Linked DNA regions of Canis lupus familiaris. The protein of the gene in region 2 interacts with the protein of the main gene of each other region in a biochemical or structural test. Links are inferred from orthologs where the notes say so. Each region holds a gene or a part of one and is shown on either strand. Other genes may lie near its edges.

Region 1 (10,154 bases), on a different chromosome or scaffold from region 2:
TTGAGAAAGAAAGAGTCCACATCCGTGTAACTTTCATTTCAGTATATTGTTATAATTGTTCTTTTTTCTTATTACGTATTGTTGTTAATCCCTTGCTGTGCCTAATCTATAGATTAAACTTTCTCACACATATGTACACATGGGACAAAACATAGTATGTCTAAGATCCGGTACTATCCATGGCTTCAGGCATCCGTGGGAGTCTTGGAACGCATCCCCCACAGATGAAGGGAGATCACTGGAACACAGATGCAGTGAGAAGATTCCTGGAGCAGAAGACAATCTTGATCGGTCCAACACAACCAATCAGCAAAAAGCAACGGGGTCAGGGGACTGGGGGTGGGGGTGAGGGGGAAGCATTAGTATCACCTGGTCATTTTTTTCAACTCTGCATCCCACCCCTCCTGCAGTGTGCAAAACGAAACAGGCCAGAGCGCCTACACGGAGAGAATTATTAAACGAGAGAAGAGATTTCTCCATATCCTTCCCTATTCACCCTGTTAGAGATCTTTGAATATCAGTGCTATTTAAATTTTTAGCATATTACTTCCTTAAATTTATATGATTCTAGTACCTCAGTAATTCTAAGGAGGCAAGCAAGAGTTCATTGTTCCTGCTTGGCAAATGCAATAATAGTAACAGACCGACTTACCTAACTAAGGTCTCAGGGATAATCTGACAAAGCTGAAAAAATTCAAATCTCAAATGTTATGCCTATGGGCTCTCTCCAGTCAATCGGTTTTCTTGTATCTTTCTACATAAAGCTATTCGTTTAAGAGGCCAATGACCGGGCAGCCTGGGTGGCTCAACGGTTTAGCACCGCTTTAGGCCCAGGGTCTGATCCTGGAGTCCTAGGATCGAGTCCCGCATCAGGCTTCCTGCATGGAGCCTGTTTCTCCCTCTGCCTGTGTCTCTGCTTCTCTCTCTCTCTCTCTCTCTGTGTGTGTGTCTCTCATGAATAAATAAAGTCTTTTTTTTTAAAGAGGCTAACGACCTAACGATGAACATTCTGCATTTTACCACAAGTTTGGCCAACGAGGGCACGTTATGAAAGTATCCAAACTGAGTAGTTTAACTTCACCCCTAGCTGCAAACTCCAAACTAATGGTATCCCATTTACTGCAAGGACAAACACAGGCGACCACGTTGAATTTACAGCTCTCTAATAGGAAGACTAGGCATCCTGTAACCTTGAAATGCTCAAGGGCAAACCTGGATTTTATGATTAATAGACTCTGGATGCTGAACTCAATAAAGTGAATCAAATAAAACATGAGCTGATGTCTAAACCTTCTTAACAGATTTTTAAAGCTATTTCTCACTTTTTTAATTATCTATTCATTCTATCACGAATAATATCTTAAATCCAGCCCTCCATTTATACTAGAAGTCTCCATCAGAGGCATCCTCTGTAGCCTTATTCTATCTACGTACTACCACGAAGCTTACTTGCTTGTAATAGCCAAACTGAAATTACCTAAGCTTGTCTCCCTTACTGACCTTATCTCTTAAGAACAAACTTCAGAGGAAATGAATGAGTGTTTGACAAACTGTCATGTTCCTGTGGGCTTGCTGACACACTTTTTTTTTCTGAAGAAAGGTGTACACTTGGAAATATACGTGCATTTTTCTATCTTGACTCAGCATCTTACAGGTATGTTAGCATGGCAATATTTTAGATATGGCAAGGATATGACCTTTCTGTAAAGCCGCAAGCTATTATGTACTTGGAAATAGCAAGAATGCTTATGCTGGGAGAGAAAAAGTGAAAAAACTTTATGAGTAAAAGACCAGCAAAAGAAAACAGTGGGCAGACACTTCAACTGGAAAGTTTGATAGTAACAAACTCAGAAAAGCACTTACCTTTTTCAGAGAATGTGTCCGATAAGATACAATGGCCTTCATCAATGCTTTGTTTAATATATTAATAGCACTTAACTCTGAATATTATTTTCAACTATTTTAAGACAAATTCGGTAAATAGAGCTTTCAAATACTTTATTGAAATATGAAAGACCATTAATGATTCAAAAAGCTTTTTCAAAAGAGACTCTGATAAAGAAACATGCATACATAATTCATATATTTAGGATTATTCCAGAACGAACAAGTTAGAGAGAGTGAAAATTAGATACACCTATTAAAATTTAAACCCAAACGACAAATAAGAAAAAATTATCTAAACATATGCATTTTGATTTGAAAGTCGGCTTTCCAAATTCCTTCACAAGTTAAAGTGGTGCTTTTACTTCTAGAAACGGTAAATGGCCCACAATACATTATTATGGCCCGATTCCACCTTTGCACTCTCATTGCGTCCATGTCAAATGCTCAAACACCAAATCTTGCCAGTGCACGGAGAGTAGCTCTGTCTCTTGGCAGCTCATCAAGTCCACCCCCCACTCATGTACAACCCAGAATTCCAATGTATTAGTTTATAATAGAACTTCACATTTTCCTATGGACCATGGACCAGAGTATTTGTCTTGACTCATTCTGCCTCTGACAACAGATCTACCTACACAGCGGAACCTCACATAGACCGTGCTTATCACCTTTTATTGACATCTTTTGGTCTTTCCCTGTTACTTTTTTTTAATTGTTACTGTTTTCTTGTCCAACTAGACAGCAAGCCGCCTGAGCACAGTGGCTGGGTGCATTTATCTCTGTACCCCAGTCCCTATATTGTGTTTGGTGAATAAATTCTAGGAGCCCCAAAATGATACAGAATCAAATCACAAAAGCCATGAAAATATAAATGTGAGAAAAAATATAAATATCTGTCACTGTGTAAAATCTTGACTCTCCCTTAGGTTGCCATCACTTGGAACTGTTAAAAAACAACATAACCATAAGGTTTCCAGTGTTCTTGGGCTACCAAATAGGGAGACCGCTTGCACAGCCGTGGGCAGGAGCTTCCTTTCAAATTAAGGTTTTACATGGAGTACTGACAACTGGGGCAGAGGTAGATGAAAAATCCTATAATATCAAATATACTAGACGTTGAGAACATATTTTAAATGACGGGATTTTTAAATTCCGGATTGGGCTATGGGGTCCTCTATCCGGCATCAGAACACTAGGCGAAAAGGTTGCTTTCAGAATTAAAGAGCAATTCTTCACACTTTATCCAGTACTCTTTTTAACACACAGGGCACAACTCATAAATCCCCGAAGACCCTACACCACCAGAGCTAGTGGAGAGCGTAATACCTAATTAGAACCACACAGGACAAAGACAAGGGACACAAATCGGCTTCCTGCCATCTAACCAAGCAAGACATTTTAAAAGCAGTAGCTGTCAAATAATATTTCACTAAAAATGGTGCTTTTGAGAAAAACTGAGGATTATTTTTATTTATATTTGGCAAGAATTGACATTTATCTTTTATAAAGTATCGTTATGTTTTGAATCAGTTTCCCATTTGAAAATATAACTGAAAATAACCTCATTTCGAAGCTCCTCATTATTGGCAAAGTCCATTTCAGCTTTTACATGATGCTAGATACTTCCATTACAGGACTATGATGGCTTTAGAAATATATTTGCAGCTCACTGAACTGTATTATCTACAATATATAAGACTTAGCATATATTTAAATTATAGAAAATAAAGTACAAAGTATTTGATTTTTCTTCATGGTGCTTTCAGGAAGACATCAGGATCTTCTCTTCTCCCTAAAGAAAAATAATCGTGAAAATCAAGAAAAGATAAACTCACAAGCTATTAAAATTACAGGTTAACTCAAACTTGTAACCATAAAATTTCCCACGGCATAAAGCTCACAAAGATATAACCCAGTGATACAGCTCAAGCAACCAGTACTTAAAACTGAGTTCTAAAGAATAGAACAGTTTGCAATCATAACGTGTAATTTGTAAATTGGAGTTCTATTTACATCTCTATTATAAAGGCTAACTACTCATTAATTTAATTCAGCACTTAAGTCTAATTGTCAATTTATGCCTGAGCCTGGGTCCCTGTCAAAAAAGGACCTGACAGCTCATTTTTCTAATCATAAATATTTATTGTTTCAATCAAGGCATATCCTCTTACTCCAAACAAGTGATTAACCCCTTTCAGTAGATGAATAGACAATCACATATCTGCAGACATTGACCAGTATTCTGTCGTTAGCTTGATCCGTACACTAAAGTACCTTTGCTCAGGAGATGTAACAATATGTGCCTGTAGAATAATAAAGTGTACTAATTTAGTGTCCTCCTCTACAATAAAGTGTCATTAATTCAAGCACCACAAATTCAGAAAGCAGGATCACGTGGACCACGCTAACATTAGCCTTTCCAACCCTGAAGGAGAAAATAGTCTACCAATCACAGGTAAGGGACAGCCCAGGTGTTTTCCAAACTGTCCCGTCTTTCAAATGTTTTGTGCCCAAATTAGTGAAGTGAAATGGTACTTCTGCCTTGACAAAAGGGTCAAGAGAGAACATGACGGGAAAAGAGAGGTTTACATGTTGTGGGCTCATCGAATTTTTTACATTTTCCCGGAGTTTTGTTAAAAGCTTACAGTATAGCATATTGAAATCATAGCCTGTGAAGAGTCCCCTCTTGCTCGCTTGGTTGGCAACACCTACTTCCCCACTGCATGTTTCTAAAGAATTTCCCATAACCATATATTTATGAACAGGTTGACTCATAACCCCGAGCTGCCAAGCAAATCAACGGTAAACCATACCTGGAGTACCTTGTGCACTTCTAACTGAGCACTTCTTCTCAACTGGATACTGCAGAGGTATTACAATACCTTGATCTGGCTTCTGAAATGCTGAAATGAGATTTTTTATTTTCCGGAAAAATCTTTTATGAACCCCAGGTGCTGTCTGGAAAATAAAAGGCCAAGCAAATTATTCACCTATCTCCTAATGACACAAATAGGCCTACAAAATGTGGGAGGGATGCGTAGAGAGGTAACATTTGTGTAACTTGTTCAAATATTTGAAAACATAAGGAAGAAGGAAAAACAACAGTTCTAGAAGAGCTTACTTTGGTTGGCTGAATTTCCCTGCAAGAGGAGCTAATGAGCTGTCATTTCAGTTCTCCCAAGGGTGGTATTAGTTTGTACAAGCTCTTGCTCCTCGCCCTGCCCTTCCTGCCTGCTACCCATCATACATCCTGAGCCTCTGAGGGTATACAGGCCATTACCCACAATGAATGCACCAACAGAGAGAATGCAGTTAAACACAGAAAAAAGCACAGATCATACAGGTCATTAATAAAAAGCCTGAAAAACCAAACCAACAACAACAACAACCCATCCTCCCTGTCATCATTCCACAATAAAAATGCTCCACAGGAAATTAAAAATTGACCGTTACGGGACACACAACATATCGCTAGTTAGTCCCTAGACTCTCACCTCACAATGTGTCCTGCCTCATCCTTCATTAAATTTGTTCCTCCTTGGGACACTTCCCTATCCTCCCCCAAATTGCTCTCTGCCAACACTTCACCGTGACAAGGTTTTCTCTATGACACGAAAATGAAAGACTATATAAGGTCACCTTTATTTATTTGTTTGTTTGCTTTTGAAGAGATCATTATTTGCAAGTGACTATTAAAATGTATTCCTTTCCTGACATCAATTCTCTTGCAAAGGAACTGCTGAAAACGACAATTTCCTGCAAAAGCTTGCGAGCTCAGCTTTAGGCATCAACTCAAAACTGTCATTTTACATAAAATAAAATAGTATTGCTATAAGCAATTGAACAATGACTAGGTTTTTTTTTTTTTTGAAAGCTGTTTTTCAGCTCTTCCATCTGGAAGATTTTTGAGGTGGGAGCTGTTTGTTTGTTAGCAGTTAATGAGAAAACGTGAAGGCTGGCATGCAAACTTTAGCCAACTCGACTAAAAGCTGAAGACAGCATGCGGTCCATAGTAACTTAGTCATTTCCCACACTGGGGCAAGTCATTTTTCTTTGAAAGCACCGAAAAAATTCTTTCTAGCTTTAAATTAGTGCCCACTCATAGGCTCACACAGCTTGGAGCCTCAGTAGATGTAGAACATTCTCTGTCTCAGTGCCACCCCTATAGTCAAAAACACCTTCCCAGAATTTGGGGCACCTGAGTGGCTCAGTCTGTTGAACAGTCGACTCTTGATTTCAGCCCAGCTCACAATCTCGGGGTTGTGGGATCGAGCCCTGCATCGTGCCCCACATCGGGCTCTGTGCTCAGCAGGTAGTCTGCTTCAGATTCTCTCTTTCTCTCTCCCTCTGCCCCTCTCCACCTACACTCTAAAATAAATAAATAAATCTTAAAAAAAAATTTTTTAAGCACCTTTCTAGGACTCAACTTGAGACCTTATCCAAAATACCATGGCTTTTCTTACAGAGCTCCAAACAGTTCATCGGCTTCAAGAGAATCTCTAAATTGCACAGGCAGGTCATAGGCACAAAATGCCTCCTTATATTTTCCTTATGGCACTTTTTCAATTTCTAGATCACAGGACCCAGTCTTTTGTCTTTCAGGCCAATATCCACAATGAATTCACCAACAGAGAGGATAAGACCAAACAGCTTCTAGAGAAGTTAGAGTCACCAACCAGAAGAGAAACTGCTCACTCCCCCAGTGTGGAAAGATTTCAAACCACACATCTTTTTAGCTGTTCTTGTGGCTTATAAAACCATTTATCAACAGAAGCATCTTTTTTATGGGGACTTATATGCAGTTAACACTTGATTATCCACACAAACAGAAGGAATAATAGCACTAGATGTACAATTTGAATTTGGGATATAATGTTTCACTGGCAAATGACTATCCTAATTTATAGAGTTTTCCTTAGATTAGTAAGTAAAATTATTTAGCATCTACCGATGATCAAACATCCAGAAAAGCCCAAAGGCACTGAAGTCAATAAGGGGAGGTTAGTACATTTTCTTTACAATACACTGATGACAATGCACATATTAGTAAAGGATAGTTGATTGGGTGTAAAATTCTCTAAATTAACAATTTAGCAAAATTCTACTGAGTCACAGGAGATAAGTTAATACACTAGGCAATGATAAAACCTAAAAGTCTATCTAAAAGTAGAAATTCACATGGGGGTGCCTGGGTGGCTCAGTCTGTTACATGCCTGCCTTCCGCCCAGGTCATGATCCGGGGGTGCTGGGATCTAGTCCCATGTTGGGCTCTCTGCTCAGCAGGGAGCTTGCTTCTCCCTCTCCCTCTGCCTGCCACTCCCCCTGCCTGTACTCTTTTACTATCTCTTTGTCAAATAAATAAAATCCTTTTTTTAGTGTAGAAATTCATATAATATTTGTCTTTCATAATTTGGTGGATCCAGCGTTCAAATTTCATTCCACTTTTTGAAACAAATCTCAGATATACTTAGATTTCTAGCACAATCTTTGCACAGAGGATAGAATGTTACTGCCATGACTTTTCCTGCAGGGTGGCAAACTAAAGCATTGTTCCAAAAGGCAGTATAAATATCTGTCATTTAACCAGTTTTGAGAATATATTTACCACAAGAATTATACCACTGACAACTCCCGTTCTGCTACTGAACTCAGCTATTGTTCATATTTGCACATTTCTCATACCGCCATCTCTTAGTTATCCATGGAAACATGTTTTGGATCACAGCTGGTCTTCAATATGCTCTAGAGAAATTTCTTACTGTCAGGTGATATGAGCTCTGAGAACACACACTAGTTTAATATTCCCTTAGCAAAAACATAACTAAGAAAGCAAATTTAGTAGATAGAAAAAATGCAATATGCATTACAAAAATAAATATAAAGCATTTTTTAAAAAACTGTTTTCCCTTTGGAGAAAACATGCCAATCTTCTGCTCTCTTGGTGCAGATAATTACAATATCATTATATAAACGGGGTCGGACCAGACAACAGGATGAAAGGACATTTATGTTCAATAAGCCCTTTCTTCCTTAACATGATCACAATCATGTAACAATCTGCATATGATGTTATACTTGAACTAGAAGAAAACAAATTTAAAGACAAGATTAGCTAAACCCTAATAATTTAAGACATTTTCCATAAAGAATACTCTTTAGCAGCTTAAGGCTACTTCTCTGGGGAGAAGGGCTATTTCTAATCAAACTATATACAAATATAGATGTCTATATCACACATAGCTATTCTTCATAATAAATGAAATTTAATTTCTTATTCAATCATCTCTGCAGTGCTGCAGAGAATTTTAAAATATAAATGGGTAAAAGTCATTTTGATTAGATGTGTTACTGCTTTGCCTCTAATTAGTATTACAGTATTAATTATCTGTGATGATTATAAATTATTATTATTACTTATTTATTTATTTATTTATTATATAAAGCGACAACGTGTTTTAAAACATGCCCTAATTCATCTCTGTAGTTCAAAACATTTGTAGTCTACGACTTGGGCTTTCTAATTTACTGATGAATTTGTAAAGGTTAGAGCTATTTTAATTTTTTTGAAGTCTAGACTTTAGAATTTCTTAAACTCATAGATTGAGTTATTAACAGAGGTTGCTATTTGCATTTATGTTTTCAAACAACTCATAACGAAGTGCTTTCATTACAAAGACAGGCTGTTTCTTTCTCAGAAATCAAAGAAAGAATTTGAGGTCAAAATTTCAGTTGTAGAGACCTGTACATCGGTAAGATGCGATATACTACCTTGTTACATGGAAATAGATTCACTCTGCAGGCATTACGTGCAATGGCATAGTGACTCTCAAATGTTTTCAAAGCCATCAGAACCCATTTTTCTAACGAAATCTTATTTGAGCCCCAGTTGATAAGCAAAAGTGAATCTCTCAGATCAAAGATGAATTGGGGACCCAAAAGCATACCCACTTTTGTCCTCCTCTCCCTCTGTGCACCACCTCTAGCAACCCCAAGGCACCCAGGTAGAAGAACCTTAGGATTTTGCAGAGCATACCTTCAAAACCACTGTAATGTTTCCTCTAATTTTATCTGCCTACCCATGTGCTTTCCACATGGCCCAGCTGGGAGTCTTGCCTCCACACAAAGAGCAATCTTGATTACTAATATTTGGAAAATCCTCCCTTCTTTGAACTCCTATGCTAGATAACATAGCATAACATTGTTATGCTAGACAATAATCATGTTGTCCAGAGTCTGGGTGAGTTCACATTTTTGAGGGCTTACTATGTACCAGGTCTTGTGGCTAAGAGCTTTCTTTTATATGCATTATCTTATTTAACCTCCAAAATGAGCCCTATGGGGCACTTGGGTGGCTCAGTTGGTTAAGCATCTGCCTTCGGCTCAGGTCATGATTCTGGGGTCCTGGGATCCAGGCCCGAATTGGGCTTCCTGCTCAGCAAGGAGCTTGCTTCTTGCTCTTCCTCTCCCTCTGCCTGACGCTCCCCCCACTTGTGCTCTCTCTCTCTCTCTCTCTGTCAAATAAGTAAATAAAATATTTTTTAAAATGAGCCCTATGAGTGAAGAACTATTTTTAGGCTTATTTTACAGATGAAGAAATTTGTTCAAAGTTAAGTAACCTGCCCAAGGTTATAGACCTGTCAGGGAGGAGGAGGTATCATACCTGGAATCCAGATCTACGTGAGGACAAACTCAGCTCTCACATCACTGTTTAATTCATGTTGTATCTCCCTGAGAGTATTATAGGCTCTTAGAAAACAGGAGTCATGTTGTTTAATCCACCATAGAACCAACGCTCATATTGGTATCATCTGGTAAATAATTGCTTATTTAACCATTTTACACATTTTGTATACGCTTTCTAAAATTTTGCATAGGCACTAAAAGTCTGACACAATCCTTCAACTTTTGTATATTTCGCCCAAAGTGAGACCGTTCTATACAATGGTGGCTGAACAGAACTGGAACAAAAATCCTCTAAAGCCTTCTTAATGATCCATGAACAATTTTGGGTCGGAGCTTCAGTGATTTGAATTTGATGAATATTTGGGGAATGTAGGATTTGACAACTCTTTTATAAAACCAACTTAAACTTCAAACACCTTCCCATTTCCCCCAGAAACAAAAAATAAATAAAAGAGCTGTACCTCAGCACTCCAAGAACCTGTTTCTGTCTGGGACACTCTGTATGTATAAATATAACCTTGATACCTGTGAAAGAAGAAACTTCCATTACTGAAAAATTCCAAAAGAATAACAGCTGCTCTAAA
Region 2 (10,631 bases):
CCTATGTTAAATACAGAGTGGGGCAATTGAAGAAGCAGGCTCCATGCAATAGCCACTGCTCGGGGTCTCTGAGTAGGACCTCTTCCAGTTCACACTCATCGCCTTCCTGGGCCCAGCCAGAGTCTCAGCCCCGGTCACCACAGCCTTGCAGAAGTCTGGCCTGAGGACTCAGGGGAGCCCAGCAGACTGTCTAGTTCCCAGCTGCTCAGCCAGCTGAGCCCTTCCTCCAGCATATGCCATGGGGAGCACTCATCAGGGCTTAGAACTTAAATAGAATATGGTTTCTAATTGTGAAGAATTTGCGAAGAAGCTAAAATAGATTTCTAACGATGAGTTCTTGTAAATCAAACCTCATACCGGAGACAAAGCTGGTCTCACTGTCCCATTATCAGGACGGCATGGGCTCGGGGTGATTTTTCCATTCAGAGGTCAGCTTGCTTTGCGCCATCTACTCTCACTCCTGCCCACTCTCCGCTGTGACCAAGTGGCCAGAGGTAAAGGTTTAATATGTGGGGGGAAGTTTTTCCCCTATATTTGAGTAAAACCCCAGCCTCCTCCATGGAGAACTGCCAGCAGCTTGTAGCTAGTTAGTCCATCCTCACAGAGGGGAGCTGTTTCTCTTGCTCTGAGTCACCATTATCTTTCCTCCCTCTTTGGAAGATGGGCCTGGGCAAGGGGAGGGTCTAGAAATATGGTCATTCCAGATTAGAGAGGAGGAAAGATGAGTAACACGTTAGAAAACCAGGGGAAGGGATCTTGATGCTAATAATAACAGCACCCTGCATTTGCATAGCACTTGATAAACTTGCTGTGCGGCTTTGGATTTGCTTTGCGGTCTTTTAAGAACTACCCAACCTGTCTACCCGTTCTTGTCCAGTCTGTAAGTTGAGAGATATTATTTAACAGTCCTGCTCTTATTAGAAATCACTTTCAAAACAAGATACAGACTATAAACAAACTCCCGTATCCTCTCTGGACTGCGCCCCATTCTGTAGACTCCTGTGGTATCATCCATTGCGCTGATTCCCCCAAGCAATGCTGGGATGTGAGAGAGGGAACAGCTGCAGCAATTAGGAATATATGCGAAAGTTCTCCAGCTCCTTGCGGCTCAACCGGGCAGGGTTCTGGGCGTTGAGTTGTCTCTTTCCAACCTGTGAAAGAAAAGGAGAACTTCAGAACCTCCCACTTGGAGATCTTCATAGCAACCTTGGGAGGTATGAATTATTATCCCTATTTTACAGATAAAGAAAATGAAGCTTGGAGTAGTTAAATAAATAACAGGGTCAATGACTAGTAGGAAGTAAAGGAGGAGCTTGAAGCCAGGTCTTCTGGCTCCAATTCTAGTGTTTTTTTTTTAACATGACCCTGCCTAGATTGCGTTGGCCCACGCGGTGTCCTCTACAACCGTAGTCTGTCTGGTTGGCTTTAATGTGAGGCTACAGCTGAAGTGCCAGGAATCCCAGCAGGCACCCATCCACCCTGTCCCTTGTGACCACTGGCAGCCTCTTTATTGGGCCTTGGAAACTCTGGTGTATCATGAGGCTAGTGGGTGGGAGTGCCCTCCATGCCCTAATTTCTCTGGTAAAAGTGGGAAGTATTATACCTACCTCATGGCACTCTATGAGAATTAAATGAGATAATTCGCATGAAGCCACTAGCAGGCTGCCAAATACATAATACGCCCCTAATAACTGTTGAGTCCCTATTTTCCATTACTTAAATGGCCTGATGGGAATATATTCAGCTACCAGGCTCAATGGTCACTCTATAGTGTCTATCCCAGCAGCAGCTCAAGATTACCTATGCCCTAGAATGGTTCCCAATTACTTGCTAACTTCAGAAAATCATTTAGCTCTACTTACCCTCCCTTCTCTTCACCCTTGCCCCATACACCCTTGGAAGGGACAGATGTCCAGTGTACAGCCCACAACTGGAGACTAGCTGGAGGACAGCCCTAATTTAAAACACAAGCTCCCCACTGGGTATAATGTAAGACTAATGAATCACTGACCTCTACCTCTGAAACTAACAATACATTATATGTTCATTAATAGAATTTAAATAACAAATAAATAAATAAAAATCTTTAAAATGGAGATAATAAAACAACAAAAATACATTTAAAAAATAAAACTCAAGTTCCCCATTAAGAGTCCAACCCTAATACATGATATGACCTTGAATTAGACCCTTGCTTTCGTTGGACCTCAGTTTCTTTATCTTTAAAATGAAAATGTGGGTAAGAAGATCCCTCGGGGATGCCTGGGTGGCTCAGTCAGTTAAGAACCTGCCTTTGGCTCAGGTCATGATCTCATCAGGGTCCTGGGATTGAGCCTCACATTGGGCTCCATGCTCAGCAGGGAGCCTGCTTCCTTTTATTCCAAAATAAAACAATTTATTTTGTTGTTTTTCTGCTCATGCACGCGCTCTCTCTCTCTCTCTCTTTCTAATGAATAAATAAATATATTATCTTTAAAAAAAAAAAGAAGGCAGCTCCAGAATCTTACCTCTTCATAGATAGTATGACTGAAGGAAGAGCTCTGGTTCTTCTTAGATTCAGACTGCAAATTCAGACAGTAAAGAGTGCTTAACTTCAAGTTGGGAAATATCCCACTCCTAACTGATGTGAGAGGCCCCCGAAGAGACACAAGGTCCAAAAAAATCTCTGGATATTTTAGAATAGAATAGAATAGAATCTCCTGCCCCAAGAGTAAGTAATGGAGTTTATGACCTCCAGAGAAGACACAAGACATACTTGTGTGTGACATGAACCTTCTGAACCAAAGTCAGAGGTTACTCTCCCATATCCACGTGCCCCTCAGATCCGCACATGCACACATTCCCAGCACACACACAAGCATACTCACACACACGCCTTCAGACAGGCCTGATACAAATACTGCTCAGACCATGCATCTCATCAACACAGAGCATACACACACACCCCTAGTGTAAGCAGTTCTGGACACACATAAGAACTGACCCTACCACATACCCTGACCACGGTGAAACCCTAGGAACATTGGAATTCAGAAGCACTTTCAGTAGAATGTAGAATCTCCTAAACAACACCAAGCCTGTGACCATCCCTATGGCCACGTATTGCAGCAGGTAACTTAATTATAAATGTCTCTCATGGCAGAATCTTGAGCGATTGAATAACTTATTGAAAGGAGGGTGAATAAAAAGTCTGAAAAATCTGTCTTAAATCTCTCCCACATTTGACCCTGACCTGCATGTACTCAACACTTCCACAGTTTGGCATATTCCTAACTTCTCATACTACCATGTTAAGTCTAGGTCTTCATACTATGACTCCAGCCTTGGTAATACCATTCTTCCAATCCCTCTCCCACCCAAGGGGAAAAGATGACTAATGAGCACCAGGTACACAAAAGACCTGTGAGCTCAGCTCAGAGCAGGATTTGAGGGGACAGTGATGGGTTGCCTCAGCCCCAAGGCCCCCACCAGCAGATGACTGGTCAGAACATTTCTCTGGTTCCCTGAAAGTCAACATTGTGTCTCTCTAGGTCTGGGCTACTCCTCTGGCTCTGGGCTATATTCCCCCACCTTGGAAACCCCTCTAGTATCTCTTGCCGTCACCTCAGTTGGCCTGCTAAGGACAGCTTAGCCTCTCTGCACAAAGCACCACTTTTCTATCTCTGATTGTTCTTGTCCCACAGAAACTCCTAGAGACTCCTTTAATCCACTGCTGGCTTAGTCTCAGAGCTGTTCTTTTTCTCCAAACGCAATCAGAAAGGCATTTCTTCCTCATTTAAATAGAGCCATTTAACCCAAACTGCTTAGATATACACAACGGAAGGCAACTCACGGAAGTTGCCCACGCACTCTGCAAATGTGGCCCTCCCGTGCACGTGCAAAATCCACATTTGCATTCGCAGCATGCCCTGGAGGAGGAGACTCACCTTCCGGGAAGGCTGTACCAATGCATACAACGTATTGTTTTCTTGTGATGTAGGAGCAGAAGACTAAAGAGAAGAGAAATAAAGTATTTCAGGAACATAGACCCAGCAGCATCCTAGGGCCCTCAGAGGCCATTTCTTCCACCCCTCCCCCCAGCCCTGCCCAAAGAGAAGCCCGAAGTATTAGCCACAGGAACCCTGGACTCAGGAGGTCAGACACCTGAATGCCAGTCCGGCCCTGTCCGCTAAGATGTCACCTAGTCTGTACACGCATTCTCCTCTAACCTTGATAACACACCGACGAGAGGAATGATCATCCTTGGCCCCACTCCACAGATGAGGCTCCGAAAGGATAAATAACCCAAGTCAGATGGTGTAGTCACAGTAGAAGCAGAATTGAAACCCCAGACTCGCCAGAGGTGTTTCCTCAACACCTTAGTACATCCTGTTGGCAACATGCCTTCCTTCTCTGCACCTGAGCCAGGTGTCCTCAAAGGCAGGTAACCACCCTCCTTCTAAGAAGGTCCAGAGGAGGAGGCTCCTTATCACTCAGCATCTCAGGCTGAGATGAGCTCTTCCCTGCATTTATTCAGATTCCTCCTGTTGGGATGCAATGTGGCTAAAGCTAGAAAACTGGCAGATATCAGCCACTCCTGCTCTCTCCCTAAGGCTCTTGAGCTTTGACCCCACTATCAGTAAATCTCAATATCACGGGGAGCAGAAGGAGTCAGTCCCCAACTTGGGAATTCCTGAGTGGCTGTGAGGGTTGAGCACCTCCCTCCCTCCTCTGCTCCTTCTTCCTCAGCTCCTCTTCCCTTCATTGCCCTCCCTTCCCCCTCTCCTCTTCCTCCTTCTCTAGATCATTCCCTGAAACCTATCACCATTTCCCCAGGAATTTTCTTTGCCGGGCAGTTTAGCCACCACGTTGAAGAGTTTACTGCGTCCGGACTGAATTCTTTAAGAAATAAGTTATATTTATCAGAAATTGTTCATCACTGGCCACCAAGAGGCAGCGTTCCCCTCGAGAGAGATGCCCCAGTCTGGGTTAGCGATAATGTTATTTTAGCTGTCAAAATTAGAGGATGCTTCTCCAGTTTATGGTGAATTTCTATAATCCCTGAAAGTGAAAGAGGAAGGGGGCAGGTGGGGCGGAGGCCCAGAAGCCCTCTAGCTCAGCTTTGCCACTCCCCGGCTCTGCGGCCTGGAGCACATTAGTTAACCTGTGTCTGGCTCCTCATCTGAGAAATGGAGGTTGTGCTGGACCTACTTCGTGAGGCTGTTATGTGAGATTCGTTAGGAAAACAGACATAGTAAGTACCTAATAAATGTTATTGTTAAGTCATGAAAAATAAAAGAGAACAACCCAGATACCCTCTTTCCTGAAAACAGGTATAATGAGGAGCAGAGATCAAAAAAACAAAGACAACCTATAAGGGCCCCAAGTATTGGAAGTGGCAGGGAGGGAAAAACAGAAGCTGAGTCCCCTGCCAAGTTTCCTCCTCCTCCCAACTACCTGGGCCACACCTGCTGCCACGCACGGAGGGAGAGAGAAGGCCTATCTACGTCAGACTTCCCAGCCCTGTTCAGCTCTGCCAAGAGACTCCAGAGCCACACAGATCTTTTCAATTTAATGCAGCTGAGGCCAAGCTGTCCTCTAGACTCTAAGAGCCCCAGAGTCCTGCTATTCAGGAGTGTGAGCTTCCGGAAGGCCTCAGGGAGCCCTGGAGGCAGGTATGGGATGGATCCGAGACACGGAGTGGTACCTGGGACTGGATCACAGAGTAGATGGTGCTCCCTTCCCCGGGCGGATTCTGGTTCTGCTCCTGCACAAGAAATAGTAAAGGGCCACGTGGTAACGTGAGCGGAGGGCCGCGTCTGTCCAGATTTGGATGGGGTGGGGAGAGAGAGAGCAAACCAGAGGGGCTCCGGGAAGCTGGAAGGGAGGTGGTCATTAGTTGCCACAGGCTGGGGAGAGACCATAGGAGGAATGACCCACCTGCAGTAGTTAGTGTCCCACCTGGAGTAGTTGGTGTCCCACCCAAGGAACCACCCAGGTGTGAAGAGATGCACTGAGTGACCCGTCCAAGGGGAATCCTATCACTTGCTTTACTTTGGTAATTTAGAAACTTGCCTCTGCTGACTTCGCAGCCAAATTGGCCTCATTAATCACTGATAATGGGCCGAGCTCTGAGTAGGGCTGTGATCTGAGCCTTACCTCGGGCCTTGAAATTCAGAAGCTTTCATTGTTTTAAAGCCCCTTCTCTAGGCCCGGCCTTGGGGGCCAGTTTGCCCTGGGCCTCAGGCCTGCTGCCCCACAACAACCCCTGGACCTGGAGCCAAAGGCAGGGAGACCATCCCGGTCCTGGCCCCTCCTGACCACAGGAGCCCTGAGTGCACATTGCCAGGTGGGGCTCCGAAGGGGACAAGAGGAAGCCAGCAGGGTCCATTAGACAGGGAAGGAGCTAGAGGAGCAGAGAAAACCTCACTATCCTTAGAGGCTAGAAAGTCATAGACATCTGGGGGAAAAAAAAAAAAAAAAAAAAAAAACAGGATTTTCCTGCTTTGCTTCTCTGCCCAGACCTGAGTGAAGTGTCTCCAGAGAGGTCAGAACTGAGCCCCCAGTAAGAACACATGAACTCGAGATCTAAGCCTTCAGACGCAACCCTGGAGCCGGTAGGGAGGAGCCCGCAAGGGATGAGGCCGCGCAGGAGGAGCTGGAGTCAGAGGCAGAGACAGGCCTGCATCCCCGAGTCCTTGTACTCTGGCTCCCTCCACTAGTCTTCACTTCCTGAACCTAAAACCGTCCTCCCTGTGTGGGAGGAGAGGCAAGTCATCCGGAGCATTCGGGCTTCCGCCGCTGCAGGTGGATGCTCTTGCTCTCAGGAGTCTGTCCGCATCGGGTAGTGATGGAGAAAGGGTCTCCTTCGCCTGTCACCCCCGTAGTCCACCCCCCACCCCCCCCACCCTACCCCCCCACCCCAGCCGGGTTCCCCCTGAGACCAGACCCGAGGAAGCAGCTTGTCCGCTCCACCAGGCCTCCCACGTGATAAGGTGGCAAATCTCGCCCCTGTGACTTCCTGCCTCACCTCCTCAGGTCGAGCACCCAGAATGGAGGTGGGAAGGGGCCCGTGGGCCCACGCCCCCCACTCCACGTTCAGCTAGGCTCTGCACCCCCCACGCCTGGACCACTTCCTGCCCTGCTCAGCCAGAGCAGCAGGGGGCACTCTGCAGCCCCCACCCCGCAGCCCCCACCCTGCAGCCCCCACCCCGCAGCCCCCCCTGCAGCCCCCTGCAGCCCCCCCCCCCCGCACCCTCCCAGCAGCCCCCTCGCAGCCCCCCCTGCAGGCCCCTGCAGCCGCCCCCCTGCAGCCCGCCCCCCCCCCCCCCGCAGCCACCCCTGCAGCCACCCCCCACCCCCAGAAGAGTTGGCCTCGCAGAGGCCGGAGCCTTGTGCTGACCCGCCTGCTGCCTCGAGCACCCCGGGGGACCCCGGCCTGGGGGGAGCACCCCGCGGACCCCCAGAGCCCCAGCACCCCCATGCCGCTCAGGCGGCCGTCTGCTGCAGCCAGGGCGACCAGCAAGGGACCCCTAAAGGTGAACCTGGACCTGCAAGGACACGAGAGGCCGTGGCCAGATACAAGGGAGCCGGACTGGGGGCCTAGTGCGCCGGTGAGCCTGGCAGGGACGGTGCCCCGAGGGCTGCGCAGGGAGCGGGAGCAGCAACCCCCCCCCCCCCGCCCCGCCCCCGCCGCCCCGTGGGGGTGCTGGGCTCCCGCCCTCTCAGCAATTTCCCGCTTGCTGCTGCTCCTCCACCGCCGGAGCCAGGAGGCCATAGGGAGGGCAGGCCGGGGCTGGGGAGCCCTTTGAGAAGCCACCTGCGTGGTACCCGGTGTCCCCCGGTTCCTGCCCGCCGCCCGAGAAGCACCCCCAGGCTAGGAGACCGACCCCAGCCCCCGGCCTACTTGATTCCTCCCCATCTGCACGTGGTTGACATCTTCATAAACCGTCAGAGGCTCTCCCCGGCAGGCCGCTGTGGGAGGAAAGCAGCAAAGACAGAGCTGGAGAGACTTCCAGAGGGTATCCCATCCAGGCTTCTGCTTCCTCCAGTCCCACCTCCGTCCCAGGTGGCCGAGACCTTGAGGAAGGTTCTAGAAAGGAGGCAGATTAGCGCTCTCCCCAGGGTACCCACAGGGCGCGGGAGCAGCAACCACCCGACACACTGCACCGGGCAGGCAGGTCCCCCACAACCCAGCACCTGCAGCTAAACTGGCCCGTGAGGCTGTGGACATCCCGAGGGCCCCGAAGGTGTGACGTGGGAGCCAGGGCCCAGCATCTGCTGCTGCGGGTCCCCGAACATGCACAGCCATGTCCCAACGCTCCAGAGGCAAAGCAGGTGCTGTGCTCTCAGGCGCACGGCCCCGGGGGCGTCAGGTCAGCAGCAGCACCTCCTGGGGACCCTCCACTTACCTGACTGCCGCTTCTTCCTCCTCCACACACAGAAGCAGGTGAGGGTGACCAGGAACAGTATGAGTAGACAAATGCCGACGATCACCAGAAAGTACACGAAGTTGTCTTCTAGGGACCGGAAAGCACGAGGCCCGAGCTGTCAGCCCGCCTCCCTGCTTCGCACCTGTGCGAACCTGCACTCCCCTCTCACGCCCCACAAATTCACCATCAGGCCAGCTCTCTCTGCAGTTGAGTGACCTCCCCTGAGTGATGCTAAGAGCACGGATCTTAATATCTGGCAGGCCTGGCTCTGTGCCCTTGGGCAACTTCCTTAACCTCTCTGAGCCTCCGTTTTCTCACTTCTAAAAGGAGATGATGTTATCTGCACAAGGGGGTTGATTGTATGACTTAATATATGTAAAGCATCTGGCACAGCAAATGTGACAACTGTCCATCCTTTTAACTCACCAAAACCTATTGCACCCCACTCTGTGCCAGGCAAGCCCCCACTTTCCCCTTCCTGCCACTCCTCTGCTCTTCCTCATTTGAACTTCTACATTTAATATCTGTGTCACACATGTGGTCGTAGGAGCCCACGGACCAGGGAGAAGGGAAAGGAATTACGTGTTCCGAGTGCTAGCTGAGGCTCTTCACAAACAGAACCTCATCTAATCTTACCAGCAATCCTGGGAGGTACCTATTATCACTCCCATTTTACCCAAGAGAAAAATTGAGGCCCAGAGAGGGTAAGGAATGTGCCTGAGATGGCAGAGCTAGTGAATAACGAAACCATAGCTGACATGACCCAAAAGCCAGCGATCCTTGTCCCTCCAAATCGCTTCAGCTTGGTTCTCTTTTGCCCAGGAATGTCTGGTTTTGTCACCCCTATTTAACTGTAAGTTCCTTAAAGACAGGGACAGCAAGTAGGTTTTTCCCTGTAATGCCTATGCTGACACGTTAAGTATTTATCTCATAAAAATTGGTGCAAACTTAACTCGAGATAAGTCTTAGGATGAGCATAAGCAATAAATCAAGAAGTCTTCCAGAAACCCCTGTGATCATCCTGATGTTCCCACGACCCAGGGCACTGTTGTACACCATAGTTACCCCTTGGGGAACTACGTGGCTTGGGGGAGTTGTCCCTCTAGGAGGAGGAAGCAGGTCTCCAGCAGTCTCTCAGAGGAAGGAAGTGATGATGGTCAGTAGCCATGGCAGGGCTGTGACCCACCCACCAAATAACTAAGCCTTCCCTCCATGAAGAAAGACTCGCATCTCCTAGGAGATTCTTGATGGGGATAAAATTCTTCCCAGACTAAGACAGGCCTGGTTTATGGGAACCTTGTGCCCAGAGACCAGAACCACCCCAGGGAGGGGCGGCAAGGCCCTTGAGGAGGCAGCCAAGAGATCTTATACCCAAGTATCTCCTGAGCCTGATTATGGGGTCCAACACCTTCAACCCTATTAGTCCAGTGTCCCACTTACGCTTGCTGGCAGTCGGACAGCCCTGGGTGAGTCTGAGGGTGTGGTTTGCCGAGCTGACTGGATTGCTGACGTTGCAGGTATATATGTATGAGTCATTGACAACCTGCTCTTCTGATCTGGTGAGATTCATTTCTGTCTGGATCAGCTCACTCCCTCTATACCAAGCATAGCTCACGTTACCACTGCTCGAGACCGAGCAGGACAGAAACAGTTGACATGTATCTCCTTCCAGGACCCTCCACTCCTTCAGTATTTGGGGCATCTCTATATGATCTGGAAGCAGAGATTCTGATCAGAAAGGTGCTGGAGTAAGAGCCCTACAGGAGGCAGGGGGCAGGCTGAGCTGTCCTAGGGACTCACCAAATATAGAAACCTGGAAGTAGTGATTATCCACCTTCCCATTCTCATCAGTCACCTCCAGGTTGTAGCAGCCACTGTGGTTCAGCCGAACTGCCTTGATGAGAAGCGCTAAGTTCTCGGTTGTAAAACTGAGTTTACTGTCGAAATGATTACTAGTCTGCGGTACGTATTTGACATCAGACCCATTCTTCCAAGTCAGTATCACGGAAAATTCCGAAGCTAAGTACCACTTCACCTTCCATTGAGCAGAGTTTATGTGCTTTGTCGGCACCCCGAGGGGCTGTAAGAAGAGTTGCTGTCCTGAGAGTCCAACCACACGTTCAGCAGAACCTAAGGATTCCAGAAAAGAGAACCCAGGCTGGAGGTGGCAGGAAGGGTATCCGCCCAGAGCACTGCAGGCAGTTGGATGTGGCTTCCCTT

What was found. The genes of interacting proteins can lie anywhere in the genome.
Region 1: the proteins of CD244 (region 2) and SH2D1A interact in a biophysical measurement, tested with the Homo sapiens proteins (2 studies listed by IntAct). The link is inferred for Canis lupus familiaris from reciprocal best matches to the Homo sapiens genes CD244 and SH2D1A.

Annotation. Positions count from the first base shown.
Region 1 is NC_049260.1:96,516,105-96,526,258, reverse strand, and holds the end of SH2D1A (SH2 domain-containing protein 1A), read right to left. Parts: intron 10,096-10,154; coding exon 10,032-10,095; intron 4,846-10,031; coding exon 4,701-4,845; intron 3,680-4,700; coding exon 3,639-3,679; 3' UTR 1,982-3,638; downstream 1-1,981.
Region 2 is NC_049259.1:22,340,076-22,350,706, reverse strand, and holds part of CD244 (natural killer cell receptor 2B4), read right to left. Parts: intron 10,542-10,631; coding exon 10,212-10,541; intron 10,125-10,211; coding exon 9,852-10,124; intron 8,499-9,851; coding exon 8,391-8,498; intron 7,954-8,390; coding exon 7,886-7,953; intron 5,747-7,885; coding exon 5,687-5,746; intron 3,990-5,686; coding exon 3,927-3,989; intron 2,562-3,926; coding exon 2,508-2,561; intron 1,152-2,507; coding exon 1,071-1,151; 3' UTR 1-1,070. UniProt on the Homo sapiens protein: Heterophilic receptor of the signaling lymphocytic activation molecule (SLAM) family; its ligand is CD48.